Elephas maximus indicus: one gene and its partner. The main gene of each other region encodes a partner of the protein of the gene in region 2 in a complex. Links are inferred from orthologs where the notes say so. Each region holds a gene or a part of one and is shown on either strand. Other genes may lie near its edges.

Region 1 (7,336 bases), on a different chromosome or scaffold from region 2:
ATAACAGAAATAATCCAATTATCCATCCTTGGGAGACTGGATAAACAAATTAAGGTATATCCATACAAGTGACTTCTACTTAGCAATTAAGAAAATAAGGGGAAGATGAACAACGGATATACACAACATGAATTAAAAAAAATCTAGTCACAAAAGACTATATACTTTATAATTTCATTTACATGAAGTTAACGGATAGGCAAAACTAAGCTATGCTGATAAAAATCAGAAAAATGATTACCTTTATGTATGTGGGAAGGCCTATTTAACCAGAAAGGCAGGGGCACAAGGGAACATTCCTTGGTGATGGGAATATTACACATGCTAACTGGAGTCATAGTTATACATTGCCATGATTCATTAAACTGTGCTCTTATGATTTGTGCATTCATTGTATGTAAAATACACCTTTTTGAAATTAAACTATAATTCAATTAAAATTTGTGAATGAACATTAAAATATATGAATTTCCTAAAAAAAGTTAAAATAATAGAGAAAACAGTTTTATAGACTAAATATTGGGTCTGTAATGGTGAAACAAAGTCAAAGTTTTCTTTCACCACTAAGAAAAATTTCTCTGGAAGAATGTGGAATATGAACATGATCTTAATTATGTTTCTTAGTTACAAAAAAACTAGAAAGATAAAAAAAGAAAGATATCTATTCTAAAATATAAGCAAATGACTGAGAAAGGAGAGAGGATAATTTTGTAACATATTTTGAATTTGATATATGCAAGGATGAGCTATCAGGATTTTAAAACAAAATCCGACCTCACAAGAAAAATGTAATCCCCTATTATGTTCTCAAAACTGAAATATATTACTTGAATAACATTATAACTGACCATGAAAATAGTCTGCAAATGCAAAAACATCCCTGTTCTCAAAATGGATGACTGTTATAACTAAAAGGCATGTCTATATATGATACATCTTGAAATCCGTGAATTTTGTTTCCTTAAAACATTTATTTAAAGTTGAACTGGGCTAAGAGGTATTACTCTCCCTCATATTAAATTATCATATACTCGGTGTCAGGATCAACTTTTGTGTCTTCTGGGGTTTCTATTTCCAAGCATAGTTCCGCATCCAGATTTTATAAGAGACAACTTTACTTCACCGTATCTAGTTCTATCACCGGAAGCAGCCATTGATAGGGTAGCAAGTCAGAGCTCTGTCTAGTTTCACTTCTTACCATGTGAGAGTCACTCATGCTGCTTGAACTTCGTACAGCAACAACTCTATTTCCTTAGGAAGTACTCACTCAGCCAAATATTCATGCCCTTCAGAATCTAACTCAACCCATCAGCTCACCCAGTGCGTAAGAAATGACTCTTAGGATGGCACTTTATATTCGTTAGTGGGTGGCACAAAGAGCTAAGTGCTTGGCTGCTAATCAAAAGGTTGGTTGTTCAAATCTGCCCAGAGGCACCCTAGATGAAAGGTCTGGTGATCTATTTCTGAAAGATCGCAGCCATTGAAAAGCCTGTGCAGCACAGTTCTACTCTGTAACACATGGGGCTGCTATGTGTCAGAATTGACTTGACAGTAACTGGTTTGGTTTGGTTTTTATTGTTACCCACACTTTGGTTTATCACCTGGGTGACAAAACATCTGACAGCAAGCTTCCTCTCCGATTCCGGGTCCTATTCATTAATGGAGAAGTTGAAAATAAATCCACCTATTTCTTGCTGAATCACCTAAGAATGGTGTCCAAGGGTTGCTCATACTAGTAAAAGCAACTACAAGAGCAGTGTAAACTAATAATTCAACAAAAAATTTGCTTAATTTCAGGAAATTAAAAAATTCCTGCAGTAGATACATTTTTCAATTATGCTCTCTATTTATTGAATAATAAGTAGAGAGCATAATTGAAAAGTCGCTATGAGTCGGAATCCACTTGACGGCACTGGGTCTTTTTTAATTATTTAATAGTTTCATTGTTATCATTTTTTTTTTTTCTTTTTGGCAGTTCAACTGAGCTGTAAAGTTACTGTTCATCTGATTGTCTAAAAAAAATCTAATGCCTTGCCCTTGTTGCCCAAGCTTGGATTTATATTCTTAGGCAAAAGACAGGTTTATCAGAAGTCATTGATGCTCTTGTACGATAAACCAGTCTCATAGACACACACTCATAAAACAATCCCTTTCTCTACATTGTTCTGTGTCTGTTTTTTCTAACACCCCTTTTATTTCTAGATATCTCCTGCTTATAAGTAAACCCTAGTTCTTCAGTGCTAGTTTTTTGGGCACCTCATTTATTAGGGAAGAAGAGGGATTAAAAAAAGAAAAAAATTGAGAAAGCCTCATGGCAAAAAGGTATAGAGAAGCTAAGGAAAAAAAACTCAATTATGAAAGAGATATGTTGACAGAATCAATGGATAGAAGAGAAGAAAAGGTATATAGCTAAGATGATCAGATTTTAATTAAAAATAAAGAAAATGACGAACATGTCTGATTCATGCAGAATTTGAAGCCAGTGTTTGGGAGGGAGAAACAGAAGGATGAAATGGAGGGAAAGAGGGCCCTAAAGAATAGTGAAGCGGAAGATTGCATTCCTAAGAATTCTTTCATGACATTCTCCTAATAAATTACCACTGGGGCACTGTGAGTGTTCAGATATTTTTTAGAGCTATTCTCTCAAAGGTTGGAAACCTGCACATTTCCAATAACTGGAGGATACTGTCATGAGAACATGGGCTGAAGCACACAGAAAGCATTCAAAGGGTACAGGGAGGACAATCAAAGATGTATTTGCTTATGTGGGAAATAGAATTTTCCACAAGAAGTGGGAGTGCTCCCTGGAGTGGGCATAGGTGGCTATGGCAAAATGATAGAGAGAGTACTGGACTAGGGAATTTTAGTTTTCTAAAAAATTGAGATGATGTAAACTAAAATAAAGAAAAAGGTCCTTCAGGTTCTGAAATTCACCGTTGTGGGTTTCTCTCAACTCTCAGCTATCCTATCTTCTCATAGCTCCGAAGTATTTACCTCTTCCCATTTTCTCTTCTATTCTGACTGAAATAGAAGGTAAGTTCTCCAGAAGGCAAAGCCTCATTTCCCCCCAACTATGTACCATTATATATTATATGTATTATCAATATATAAGAAATTAGATCTGACTTACTTTGTCTTCCTGTCTCCAGATGCATGGAGCTGTTCTCTGTTGTAGAATGATCTTCTGAGCTCATCTCCAACCTGCTCAAGTTTCCCTGGTTAATCTTGGGTTAAATCAATCTGCAGAGAAAGTCTTTGCTGGAGCTCTTCTTCAGTCTGGATCTTTGGATCATCTTAGCATTTATATTCCCTTATGCTGTCTCCGCCCCTTTCCTCTTACTTCCTACTGGCTCAACGATTACGCCAGTTCTCTTTAACTTACGCTCCAGTGGGCCAGTTTACGGCATGTTGTTGTGGTGAGGTATGGGCTTTCCCTGCTGTCTGAAATGTGCTTTCTCACAATTGCAGGTGTAGCATGAGGGGCAAATGGGATTTTCCCAGAAACCCAGGTACTTGTCCTTAAATTTGGAGTAAAAGCAAAGAGTTTAGGAGGCAGCATAATCTAAGTAAAGAACTAAAAATTAGGAATGTAAATCAGACTCCTTTGATTATAAAGTTCAATTCTGCGTGTATCATCCTAGGTATTAATTTTTGCTATTTTTTTTCAAGATTCCTATCTTTGAGATGAAAATATTTGGGGGAAGGAGTGTATAATGAGTGCCTGAAATCTCACTCATCACTTAACAACTGGTAGTTTTTAAACATCCACTATGTGCTTGACACTGTTTGGGCTCTAAGGATTCATCATTGAGTAAGTATGATAAGGCTCTATTCTCATGGATCCCCCTATTCATTCTGGAAGAATTTTACTTAGGAAGCTATGATGAACTTTCAGAAGTGTGTCATTCACTTATTCCCTGGGGACTAGTTCTTTCATTTCACCAGTTTATGAATATTATTTGGTAAGTAGTTACTTTAACGCAGGAAATAGAAAGTTTGTGGCTACAACTTCCTCGCTGTGTTCTGAAATCGTTTAAATTATCTGCTTCATTTTCTTGTTAAATTTTACTGTTATTTAGACTTCCTCTATTTCATCTTGGTAATAACTTATTTTTTTAATTTTCTGCATAGATTCTAGGTTATTCTGTTCACATACCTTTTGAGGCTCCAGATGTTTGGAGTATAATTTCTATAAAAACGAGACATTGCTGTGTTATGAAATTCATCCAGGAAAATTAGTAAGGTCAATGCAAAATGAATGAAGAATATCTATAAATGCTGACTTAATGGGGGAAAGAGACTCAAAGTACCACTCTGGTTAATAATCTTTGTGCCTAAAATTTATTTCATCATTAATATCAGTTTTTTTAGACTAAAGAGATTTTGTTTTCAGAAAAAAGCCTTGGTGAAAATGTTAGACTTCTGGAGTCTCTCTGAGTCAGAATTGACTCCATGGCAACGGGTTCATTTTTTTTTTTTTGGTGTGTTAGTTGGATCCCTGGTGGCACAGTGGTTAAGAGCTTGGCTGCTAACCAAAAGGTCAGCAATTTGAATCCACCAGACGTTCCGTGAAAGCTCTATGTGGCAGTTCTACTCTGTCCCATAGGGTCGCTATGAGTGGAAATCGACTCAATGGTAATGGGTTTGATTTTTTTCGGGAGGGAGGTTAGTTAGGTCATCATGTGTTGGTCTGCCTAAGGCACAAAGAGGCACATGTTGGTTCTAAAGGGCCTCTTTGCTTCCACTCAATTTTTCATTTAATTTTCTTGTATGTTTTCTACATAGCAGCTAGAGGGCTTGTTTTATCATTAAGTCGTATAATTTTGTTAAGGTTTTGAATTCTTCTCCCTGCCTACTCTCAATGGATTCCTATCAAAATTACCATTAAATCCAAAATCAAAATAAACAAACAAATCTGTTGCTGTCAAGTTGATTCCGATTTATAGTGACACTATAGGACAGAGTAGAACTGCCCCATAGGGTTCTCATGAAGTGGCTGGTGGATTTGAACCACTGACTTTTGGTTAGCAACTGAGCTCTTAACCACTGCACCACCACAGCTCCATTAAATCCAAAGACCGTATCATAGTTCAAAACGCTTTATACAAGTTCTGGCACCTGGCTATCTCTTCTACAATTCTCCCCACTAGTCACTGCCCACTCCAACAGTAACTTCTTTGCCGTTCCACAAAAATGGCAGGCACACTCCTACTACTACAGGGGCTTTGCACATTTCCTAGAAGATTCTTCCTCCAACTATCTTCATGTGTTACTCACTCCGTTAATTCAGTCACCTGCCCAAAGGGATCTTTACTTGCCATCAAATCTAAACCAAAGCTAACGCTCTACCCACCTTTATCTTTCTCTATAACATCTGTCAATATCTGGCATCATATCATTATCGTCTACTTTCCTTACTAGGATATAAGCTACTTGGGGGTAAGGATATTGTCAGATTTGTCTCTTCTGTGTCTGTAACCTCTGGCACAGTAACTGGACATCATGCTTGGTAAAGTAGAGGGTCTGTGAAAAAGAAGAAGACACTAAACAAGCTGGACTGACACAGTGCCTTCAACAATGGGCTCAAACATACCTACTGTTTGTGAGGATGGTGCAGGATTGGGCGTGGTTTCATTCTGTTATACATAGGGTCATTATAAGTTGGAATCAACTTGACAGCACCTAACAACAACAGTATATACTCAACACATACTTATTTAGTGAATGAATGAATGAATGAATAAAAATTTCGTATGAAAATTATAAAGGTTCCAAAATATAGAGAGCTACTTAGGGAGGCTTATGGAATTTTAGGATTGAGAAATATACGGCCCTAGACTGTCACAAGATAGCAAATGTGCACTTGGATGCTACTGATGAATGATGAAGAAGGAGTTAAGTTTGGTACTTAAAAAGAAATAGCAGGATCTATTGTTAACATTTTCGTTAATTTCTTTGGGTTAAAGGGACTTCATCTTTTAAATGTTTATTTATTCTCTTATAGTTAGGAGATTTGAGTTAAAGTCCAGACTGTTCCATATCCACGGTGTTGTGAAGAATGTATGAGATAATATCACTGTTATAAATCTGCAACATTATTTAAACTCTTCCAAGTTGATGGGATATAAATAGAGAGAAAGAAAATATCCTTGAACATACTGATAATCTTTCGATGAATCTTTTCCAGGTGCAAAGAAGGACTTTGCTACAGTTGATTGAACTAACATAGAAATCATGGCCCAGTTATACCATTACTAATATACATTTTCTTCTCTGGCGATTCATATATAAACATAGAAATCTGATATCCTTAGCTGGACACTAACTATCCTTGAAGTTTGAATATTCCAGAACAGTTAGGCAGATTGGCTTTATGGAAAATAAAAACGAAAAAAACAGCATTTACAGCCAGACAGATGATCATCTCCAGCAGTTTCTCTTTTGTTCCCTATAGGTCAGCCATCAAACCAAAAACCAAACCAGTTGCCATCATGTCGATTTCAATTCATGGTGGCCCCCATGTACACAGAGTAGAACTGTGTTCCATAGGGTTTTCCATGGCAGTGGCCATTCAGAAGCAGATCACCAGGCCTTTATCTTGAGACACCTCTGGGCAGGTTCAAACCACCGACTTTTCAGTCAGTAGCTGAGTGCTTAACTGTTTGCACCACTCAGGGTCTTCACTGGCCATAGTTCTGTTCCTTGAAGAAGCCAAACTCATTTTCGTTTTATAAGGTGTGTTCTTGCATTTTTACCCTCTGCTCTCAGATTTCTCATGGCTGACTCTTCTCATTTATATTTAACCTTGCATTTTACCTCCTCAACAGGACCTTCCCTAGCTACCTGTCTAAATTAGTTCCAGTTTAAAAAAAAAAAAAACCATTGCCATCGAGTCAATTCCAACTCATAGCGACCCTATAGAACAGAGTAGAACTGCCCCATAGACATTTCCAAGGAGTGCCTGGTGGATTCAAACTGCTGACCTTTTGGTTAGCAGCTGCAGTTCTTAACCACTGTGCCACCAGGGTTTCCATAGCTTCAGTTAGTCACTATCTATTACCTCACTCTCTTTTACTTCATAGGGCATATCACTAACTGAAATTTTATTGTTCACTTATTTGTAAGCTTTTTGTCATTATTATTTACTATTTCCCAGTAGTAGAAGGTAAAGGGTTTAAGCACAGGGACATGCCTGCCTTACTCAACACTGAATCTCTAGGATCTATAATAGGGCCTGGTGAGTTCCACATGCATTTGTTGGGTGGATACATAAAATATGTGTATGTGGATATTGACTCAGGCACTTAACTGTGCAGCTTTGGAAAACCTACATTAC
Region 2 (8,244 bases):
GCATTGTTCCCAGGAACTAACTCCACCCACCAACACCTGGCGCCACCAGGCTTCTCTTATTCTCTCCCTCCCTGGTTCTGGCTCACAGCAGCTCCTCCCTGGCAGCAGTCGAGGCCCAGAGAGTTCCACAAAACACTGGAGCGTGACTACGTAAGAGCACTCCCCATGGGTTGGCAGCTTTCAGTTTTAGGAAGAAGAGTTGACATTTCCAGAGGACATAATGGTCTCTGGGTTGTCTCCATCGTCCTTCTGGGGGTGGGAGGAGTTGTCGGACTTGCTGCGGCTGAATTCCACTCCAGCAATGATGGGTCGCTTGAATTTGCCAGTAGAGTCTCCACTGGGACACTTGCAGCAGGACATGATCTTGATGAAGGCCCGGCGCATCTCCTTGTTGGTCAGAGTGTAAATGATGGGATTGGTGCCAGAATTGAGCACAGCCAACACCAGGAAGTACTCAGCTCGGAAGAGGATGTCGCAGGTCTTCACCTTGCAGCCCACGTCTAGCAGGAGCAGGATGAAGAGGGGCGCCCAACAGGCAATGAAGACGCTCAGGACGATAATCACCGTCTTGAGCAGCGCCAGTGACTTCTCAGAGCTGCGGGTGGCCTTGGAAATATTCTTGCGAAAGGTCAGACGGCGGCTACGAGTCCTAACTAAGGAGTAGATCCTGCAGTATAGGATGACGATGGAGAGCAGGAGCAGAGTGAAGACCGTGGTGCAAAAGAGGATATAGTGCTTGTGGTAGAGCGGCAGCACCGTGGAGCAGCTGGGCAGCATGCCGATGCAATTCCAGCCCATGATGGGCAGGCTGCCCAGGATGACAGAGATGACCCAACAGGCACTGATGAGCAGGAAGGAGCGAAAGCTGTTGCTGCCATTGTGGAGTTTCATCTTCAGCATGGTGATGTAGCGCTCAATGGCAATGGCTAGCAAGCTGAACACAGAGGCAGACAGGGCCACGAACATGCTCCCTTCCCGCAAAAACCACTGGACGGGGATGAGCTTGTAGGTGGTGGCCCCAGACAAGAGCAGATTGGCTACATAAGCCACTCCTGCCAACAGGTCTGAGAGAGCCAGGTTACCAATAAAATAGTACATGGGTCGGTGGAACTTCTTGGTTTTCCAAATTGTCAGCAAGACGAAGATATTCTCCAAGATGATAAAGCAACAGATGAGGATGAACACCACCGAGGTCAGTTTAATGCCATTGTCCTTGTCGGCGCTGATATTCAGCTTTCCGGTGTAGTTGTAATGCAGGATGATGATGTCATGGTTGACATAGTCGGAGCGGTGCTGGATGCTGGCGGACCCCATGGTGCCGCGCTGTGTCCACAGGAACCCTGGGGTGGCAAGTCTCCCAGCCGCCGCTAGAGGGCAGGTGGAGAGAGCCGTCACTGGCTGCCCCGGGGATTCAGTGGGAGAGATCCAGGCTTTTTGTGTTGCTTTTCCTTGGCTTGAGGGGGCCTCGGAAACCGCAGCCTTAAACAAATCACAAAGAGGAGAAAGTCAGGAAAAAAAGCCACATCACACTGGCATAATTCACTCTAGCTAAAACGTTGCGCCAATAGTTAGTTGATTTGTTTTAAAGAAACTCAGGGAGAGTGCAGGGAATGGAATTAAAAAAAAAATCAAATTTTCGCTTCTTGCAAAAAAATGGAAAAGGGAGAGAGAGAGAAAAAAAACAAAAATTAACCCCAGCTGTAAACGTCAACTGGACAAGACGCAGATTCTCCCTTTGGTCGGTCGCATCCACTCAAAAGGAAAAGGGAAATCTGGAGAAGCACGCCCCATTCTAACTCCACTCCGCCCCGTCGCTCCCTAATTTCCAGCCCGAAGATTTTCTGAAAAATCCCCTGGCTTAGCTATGCACTCACCGCCAGCTCATGGTCTTTCCTCGGAAGAGACCTAACCGCGAATCTGACGGCGGAGACGCACACCTCTGCCTTCCCTTCCTTCAGCTAAAAGAGAGGAGCACCACCTCCTAATTGCCATGCACGAAAATCATTTGACGGCGTAAGTCATTCTTTGGGCTCTATTAATAACTCTCTAGGAGCAGGTGTGCAGGGTCTGCTCACCGCCCTGGGTCCGAGGACGCAGTGAGGTGTGGGCAGCCAAGCCCTGCCTGGCCTTGGGTAAACAGGAAAGCTCAGTGCCTCCGAGAAGCAACTGCCTATTCTCTCTTTTTTTCGCAAGCTAGTGCAAGTGACTTTAAAAGAACTCAGTGGAAACCATTCATAAGAAAGAGACTGCAATCCATCCCAGAAGTTCCAAATATTAAGTGATTGCATAAGGGGTACTTTTAGTTATCGTGGGCACGGTCAAAATAACACACACACACACACAAACACAGACACACACAAAAGAGAGAAGTTATACTACTAACGACAAAAATACCGGCCTCCACATTCCTGATTTGAGGGCATAACTACTCCCCAGAAACTCACAAAAACGTACGTCCGGTGCACGGCTAAGCAAGCATGGGTAGCTGTAGGGACTGTTCTCCCTCAACACGTCGCCTCTTCTCACAGAACTAGAAAGTGTGGAGGTAACGAAACACAGCACTTTTTTTTAACAGAACTCTACTATTAAGCTGCTTAAATGTTTCAAGGTCACGCGGCAATGGTGATAAAAGGGCCGTTAACAGAGGCGAGAACAACCGCAGCAATTCCTGGGACAGCAAAGACTTCTCGCGCCAAGAAGCTCTGCATTTCCCCCATCGAATTCAGCACCCTGCTCGCGGGCAGTGCAAGTTTAAAGCCATCCCCCGCAACCCCCCGCCAATATTCTTTGTCTATAGGATTTCCAAAACTAACTCCCTCTTCTCCGACCAACCGTAGCTTCCACCTCTCAGTCCCAGTCGGCTCTACCACTGGAACTTAACCCTTCTTCAAACTCCATAAATCCCCAAAAGTCCCAAGAACAATCTGATCGGGTGGGGCTCCTTAGTAGCCAGGGATACACGTTTTCAGCTCCCAAAGACGTAGGGTTTCAAAGTTTTTGTTTGGCTTCGTTCCATCTTAAAATGCCCTTCTGATTCCGAAGCGCTCCCCGCGCCCAGCCTGCCCGCGCCCCGGGCGCACGGCTCGCAGCCCCCTACCTGGCTCAGGCAGGACGGAGTTGCGTTCGGAGAGCTCCGGGTCTGCCCTGCGCGCTCGGCATCTTGCTGCCGCCGACTGCGTCGAGCTCTGGCCAACTTACTGGAGCCGGGGTCCCCTCCCTCCGCAGCCTCGCACTCCAATGGCCAGCCCCACTCCTGCGGCCCGTGCTGGCCAGCGAGGCCAGGCGGCCGAGCGCCGCGCCCAGACTGGGTGGCTTCTTTCCGAAGGCACCGGGAGGGGTTAAAGCCTCAGCCCCCCACGCCCTCCGCCAGTAGCTGGGGCCCTCCGGAGCTCGGCTGCTGAGACACTGTCCAGGAAAGATCTGGGGCAGAAGTAACAAAAAAAAAAAAGAACTCCTCCTCCCCCTCCGGCAACCGAGATAAAAAAAAGAAAAAAAACCAAAAGGGGCGGAGCCTGGTGCCCCCTGGATTCTAATGTATAAATCACCGCCCTTGTCCCGCCATCGGGCGCTCCCGGGCGGTGGAGAGGCTTCTCTCCAGCTTTGGAAAAGGGAGGAGGTGAAGAGCCTTTGGAAACTTTTCTCCCGGGAAGTCTTAGAGTGCCGAGGACGATCCGGTGTCTCCCAGCGTACCTCCCTTGTCCCCCATCCCCTCGGCCCTCAGGGGATACGAGACCAAAGATGAAAACCCGGCGCCCCCGAGGGCGCCTCTGCGCGAGGAGGAGAAACCCGAGCACTCGCCCAATAAGCCCAGAGAGGCTGGGAAGGGGCTGCTAGAGAGATGAAGGAGGCCAGTAACCCCGGAGGGAGAAGGGGCAGAAAGTTTCCTCCACCCCCAACCTCCAGTCCCCGCGCTGCCCGGAAACTTGCGGTCGGATGGGCAGAAAGTGGCTTTCGCGGGGCACACAGTCAAATGGGTACTGGGGTATTGGGGCGGGGGCTCCCCTCACTCAATTCAGTCTGACACAAAGTCAGACCCTGTGTCCGGGATTCTGGTCACTGGTGAGGCCCTTGAGAAGGGGGGTTGCTGCCGGTTTCTGGGAGATTTAAAGAGCCGGTGACTTGGGCAGCTGAGGAATTTCCAAAGGGGTAGAGCTGCCCGGCCCATCCGGCGCCTGAAGATGCCCAATTGGATGTCCGCGCCCTTCTCCCCCTTGCTACCCGGGAGGTGACTTCAGAGACCACCCAAACTTGATGCTCCCCCACCCCTTCCTTTCGCTGATATGCTACTTCAGAACTTGAGGCTGAGAGGCGCCCTTGGTCAAATTCACCTGAGTGGTAATGGCAAGACACTTCTGCCCCTGCCGTACTGCTACAGGCTGTTTCCACCCAGTCCCTGCTCGCCCTTCCCGACAGATGTGAATGCAAAACCTCCTCCCTGTGCAGTTTCAAGGATGACACACCCTGTACCTGAATGACTCAGAAGGATGCTGAATGAATAAACAACAGACCCCTGGCTTCTTAGATCTTATGAGTTTGCAAAAAAAATTAAGTGACGGTTAATCACAGCTGCCTTAAAGCCCTCATCAAGGATTTCACACTCAGCATATATATAGCCACAAATTCAACGACAGTATTATGCATATGTACTACACAGAAACTAAGGTTATGGTCTTCTAGACTCCAGAATATGATGAGTGGCCCTAGGGGTTTGAGGACTTCGTTCATTTAAAGGGAGAAGCTTGTTGTGCCTACACAAAACAACATAAAGTGGGCACCTGGAAACCACCGCCCCCCCCCCCCCCCGCCGCCACACACACACACTAATTTATTCATTGTTTAAAGGCTAAGGTATTAAAGTGACCTGCACTCTCAGACTGTATCAGGCACTGTGAGAGATTATCTAATTTAACATTACTGCACCTCAAAGCAGAGCCCTGGTGGCACAGTGGTTAAGAGTTTGGCTGCTAACCAAAAGGTCAGCAGTTTAAATCCAACTGCTGATCCTTGAAAATTCTATTGGGCAGTTCTACTCTGACCTATAGGGTTGCTATGAGTCAGAATCCGCTCAATGGTAACAACTGGTTTAGTTAGCCCTTTGAAACAAACATTACTGGCCACTTTGTTGATGAGGGAAGTGTCACTCAGACAGCTAAAATGACTTGCAGCTCTCCCAGCTAGTTACGGGTAAAACTGGGTTCCAGAACTTCAATACTGCCATGTCATGGCTCCCAGCTCAATTGTCCAGTTTCAGAAGTAAAAGCGGCTTTCCTCTTTCCCAAGGCAAACTCTTGCCTCTTATCATCATGCCACTTCCCCCAAACTTTCTATGCCCAAGCTCAATTATTCCTTCTCTCTTGTTCTATCAATGTTTGACCTCTGATGGCATTATCTTCAGCTTACCTGAATGTTTATGTGTCTCCTCTACTAAAACTCACTGTCTTCCTCCACAAAATTGGTTCCTTGTCTCTCACTTCTCTTGTTTGCCAACATCCCAAATAGTGTAGCGCAACATGATCCAGCTTCGGAACCAGACAAGCTTCAGTTCAGGCTTAACACTGATAGTTCCTAGCTGTATGACTTTGAGCAAATTCCTTTCACTTCCTTGACCCTCAATTTCCTCGTCTCTAAAAAGATGTGATGATATTTCTCTCTCTCAGTCATTGTGAACATTAAAGAGTTTCATACATACAAAGTGTCCATTACAGTACAGAGTAAGCGTCGTACCCTCCCACCACCTCTATCTCTGTTGTTGTTGTTACTTGCCATTGAGTCAGCTCTGACTCTTGGAGACCCCATGTGTGCAGAGTAGAACTGCTTTGTAGAGTTTTCAAGGCTGTGACTTTTCAGAAGCAGATAACCAGATGTGTCTTCCAAGGCACCTCTGAGTGGGTTCAAATCGCCAACCTTTCAGTTGTAGTAGTTGAGTACTTAACCTTTTGTGCTATGCAGGGTCTCATTTCTATTTCTAACTCTATTACACTCATTACTTTCATTATCTCACTTTGCATCTTTCCATTCACTTCTCTTTTTGATTTTCAAAATTTTTTCCCCAAAATAACACATGCCCATGGTTAAAAAAACAAAAATCAAATATAGTAGTCCCCCTTTTCCAAGATTTCACTTTCCACAGTTTCAGTTACCCACAGACAACCATGTTCCAAAGTGCTTGTGTTCAAGTAACCCTTATCTTACTTAATAATGGCCCCAAAATGCAGGAGTAGTGATGCTGGCAATTCGGATATGCCAAAGAAAAGCCATAAAGTGCTTCTATTTTATTATTAATTATTGTTGCTAAGTTCTTACTATGCATTTTACTATTTATAAATTAAACTTTATCATGGGTATGTATGTTTAGGAAAAAACATAGCATATGCAGGGTTCGATACTATCCGTGGTTTCAGGCATCCACTGGGGGTCTTAGAATGTATTCCCTGCAGATAAGGGGGGGGCGCTATTATCGTAGAAAATTATTATGTCTTCAGAGGTTTCTCCCAATCGCTTTTAAGACTTTTTGGTGTTTCTTCTGGTGGTTACTTTCAAATCTCTAAATCCCATGTTAACACCTCTCTTTCCTGATTATCAATTTTAGACACTATCTATAGATTCTCTGCCCAAGCTGAAGGAATATTTACTTACCCTTAAGAAACACACTTGTGGTATAAACTTTCTAAATACTTGCATGTAAGATATTTTAAAAATTTTATACTTACACTTGACTAATATTTTGGCTAAGTATATATTTATTTCATTTTACTCGGATCCACAATCAACACCTATGGAAGCAGCAATTAAGAAATCAAAAGACAGGTTGCACTGGGCAAATCTGCTGCAAAAGGCCTCTTTAAAGTGTTAAAAAGGCAAGATGTCACTTTGAAGACTAAGGTGCACCTGACCCAAGCCATGGTGTTTTCAATCACCTCATATGCGCGCAAAAGCTGGACAACAAATAGGGAAGACCAAAGAAGAATTGACGCCTTTGCATTGTGGTGTTGGAGAAGAATATTGAACGTACCATGGACTGCCAAAAGACCGAACAAATCTGTCTTGGAAGAAGTACAGTTAGAATGCTCCTTAGAAGCAAGGATGGCAAGACTATGTCTCACATACTTCAGACATGTTATCAGGAGGGATGAGTTCCTGGAAAAGAACGTCATGCTTGGTAAAATAAAGAGGGTCATCAAAAAAGAGGAAGGCTCTCCATAAGATGAATTGACACAGTGGCCAGAGCCATGAGCTCAAGCGAAACAGTGATTGTGAGGATGGCACAGGATTGGGCAGTGTTTCGTTCTGTTGTTCATAAGGTTTATATGAGTCAGAACCAAACTGACGGCACCTACCAACAACAACATAGATTTACAGGTTATAAATAATTTTTCCTAGGAATTTTAAAGGCATTATTCCCTAATGTTTTAACTTCTAATGCTACTAACATAAAGTTCAAGGCTATTCTAATTCCAAAACTTCACATATGACTTTTTTCTTCTCTAGGCACTGGGGTTTTTTTTTGTTTTTGTTTGTAGATGTTTATAGAATCTTCACTTTCTTGTCAGTGTTCCAAAATTGTGCAATGATATGCCTTGATTTTCCAAGTTTCTCCTGAACATATAAGAAGCCCTTTACAGTTCTGGGAAATTATCTGAAATTATTCCTTTGACAGCTTGGTCTTCTCTATTTTCTCTATTCTCTGTACTTAGAACTCCCACTATTCAGATTACGGATCATCTGGGATGATTCTTTCATTTTCTTGTATTTTATTTTTGATTTCCTAAATCTTTATGTTTTTGTTCAACCCTTTTAAATCTTCAGTTAATATTTCCATCTCTGCTCTCTCTCCTACCTTTAATTTCCAAATGTTCTCTTTTTCTGTTCTGAATGTTCCCTTTCTATAGAACCGTGTTGCTGTATTTTCACTTACCTCTGAGGATATTAGAACGGTGCTATTTTCTATTTTTTATTATTGTCAGTGGTGACATTTTCTCCTTTTTTCTTCCTTGTCTCATTTTCCTGTTTGTTTGGTCTCGGGTGTTTGTGTCAGACCTTCCCAATTGTCAGAAGATCTTTGGCTGTCCATTTCATATTTCAGACAGAGGCACCAAACACTAAAAAAAAAAAATTTGTTTTTAGGTGCTCTTGTCAGTGGAGGAGTACTAGGTGATTAGGCTGGACTGTTTTGTTGGAAGATCCCAAATGTCAATATCTGGAGCTCTTGACTCCTGGGCTGGTCCCTTTCACCAGAGAGGAATT

What was found.
Region 1: the proteins of S1PR1 (region 2) and early activation antigen CD69-like are in contact, whole or in part, in a cryo-EM structure (PDB 8G94), measured with the Homo sapiens proteins. The link is inferred for Elephas maximus indicus from reciprocal best matches to the Homo sapiens genes S1PR1 and CD69. Residues at the interface, in NP_001307659.1 of Homo sapiens: Asn157, Leu160, Phe161, Ile164, Ser165, Trp168, Val169, Leu172, Ile173, Gly176, Ile179, Met180, Gly181; in NP_001772.1 of Homo sapiens: Val41, Ala44, Val45, Val48, Val49, Thr52, Ile53, Ile56, Ile59, Ala60, Val63.

Annotation. Positions count from the first base shown.
Region 1 is NC_064822.1:66,876,440-66,883,775, forward strand, and holds the start of early activation antigen CD69-like, read right to left. Parts: upstream 3,299-7,336; 5' UTR 3,195-3,298; coding exon 3,131-3,194; intron 1-3,130. UniProt on the Homo sapiens protein: Transmembrane protein expressed mainly on T-cells resident in mucosa that plays an essential role in immune cell homeostasis.
Region 2 is NC_064821.1:181,275,879-181,284,122, forward strand, and holds the start of S1PR1 (sphingosine 1-phosphate receptor 1), read right to left. Parts: upstream 3,450-8,244; 5' UTR 3,098-3,449; intron 2,116-3,097; exon of another isoform or gene 1,875-2,115; intron 1,480-1,874; 5' UTR 1,315-1,479; coding exon 187-1,314; 3' UTR 1-186.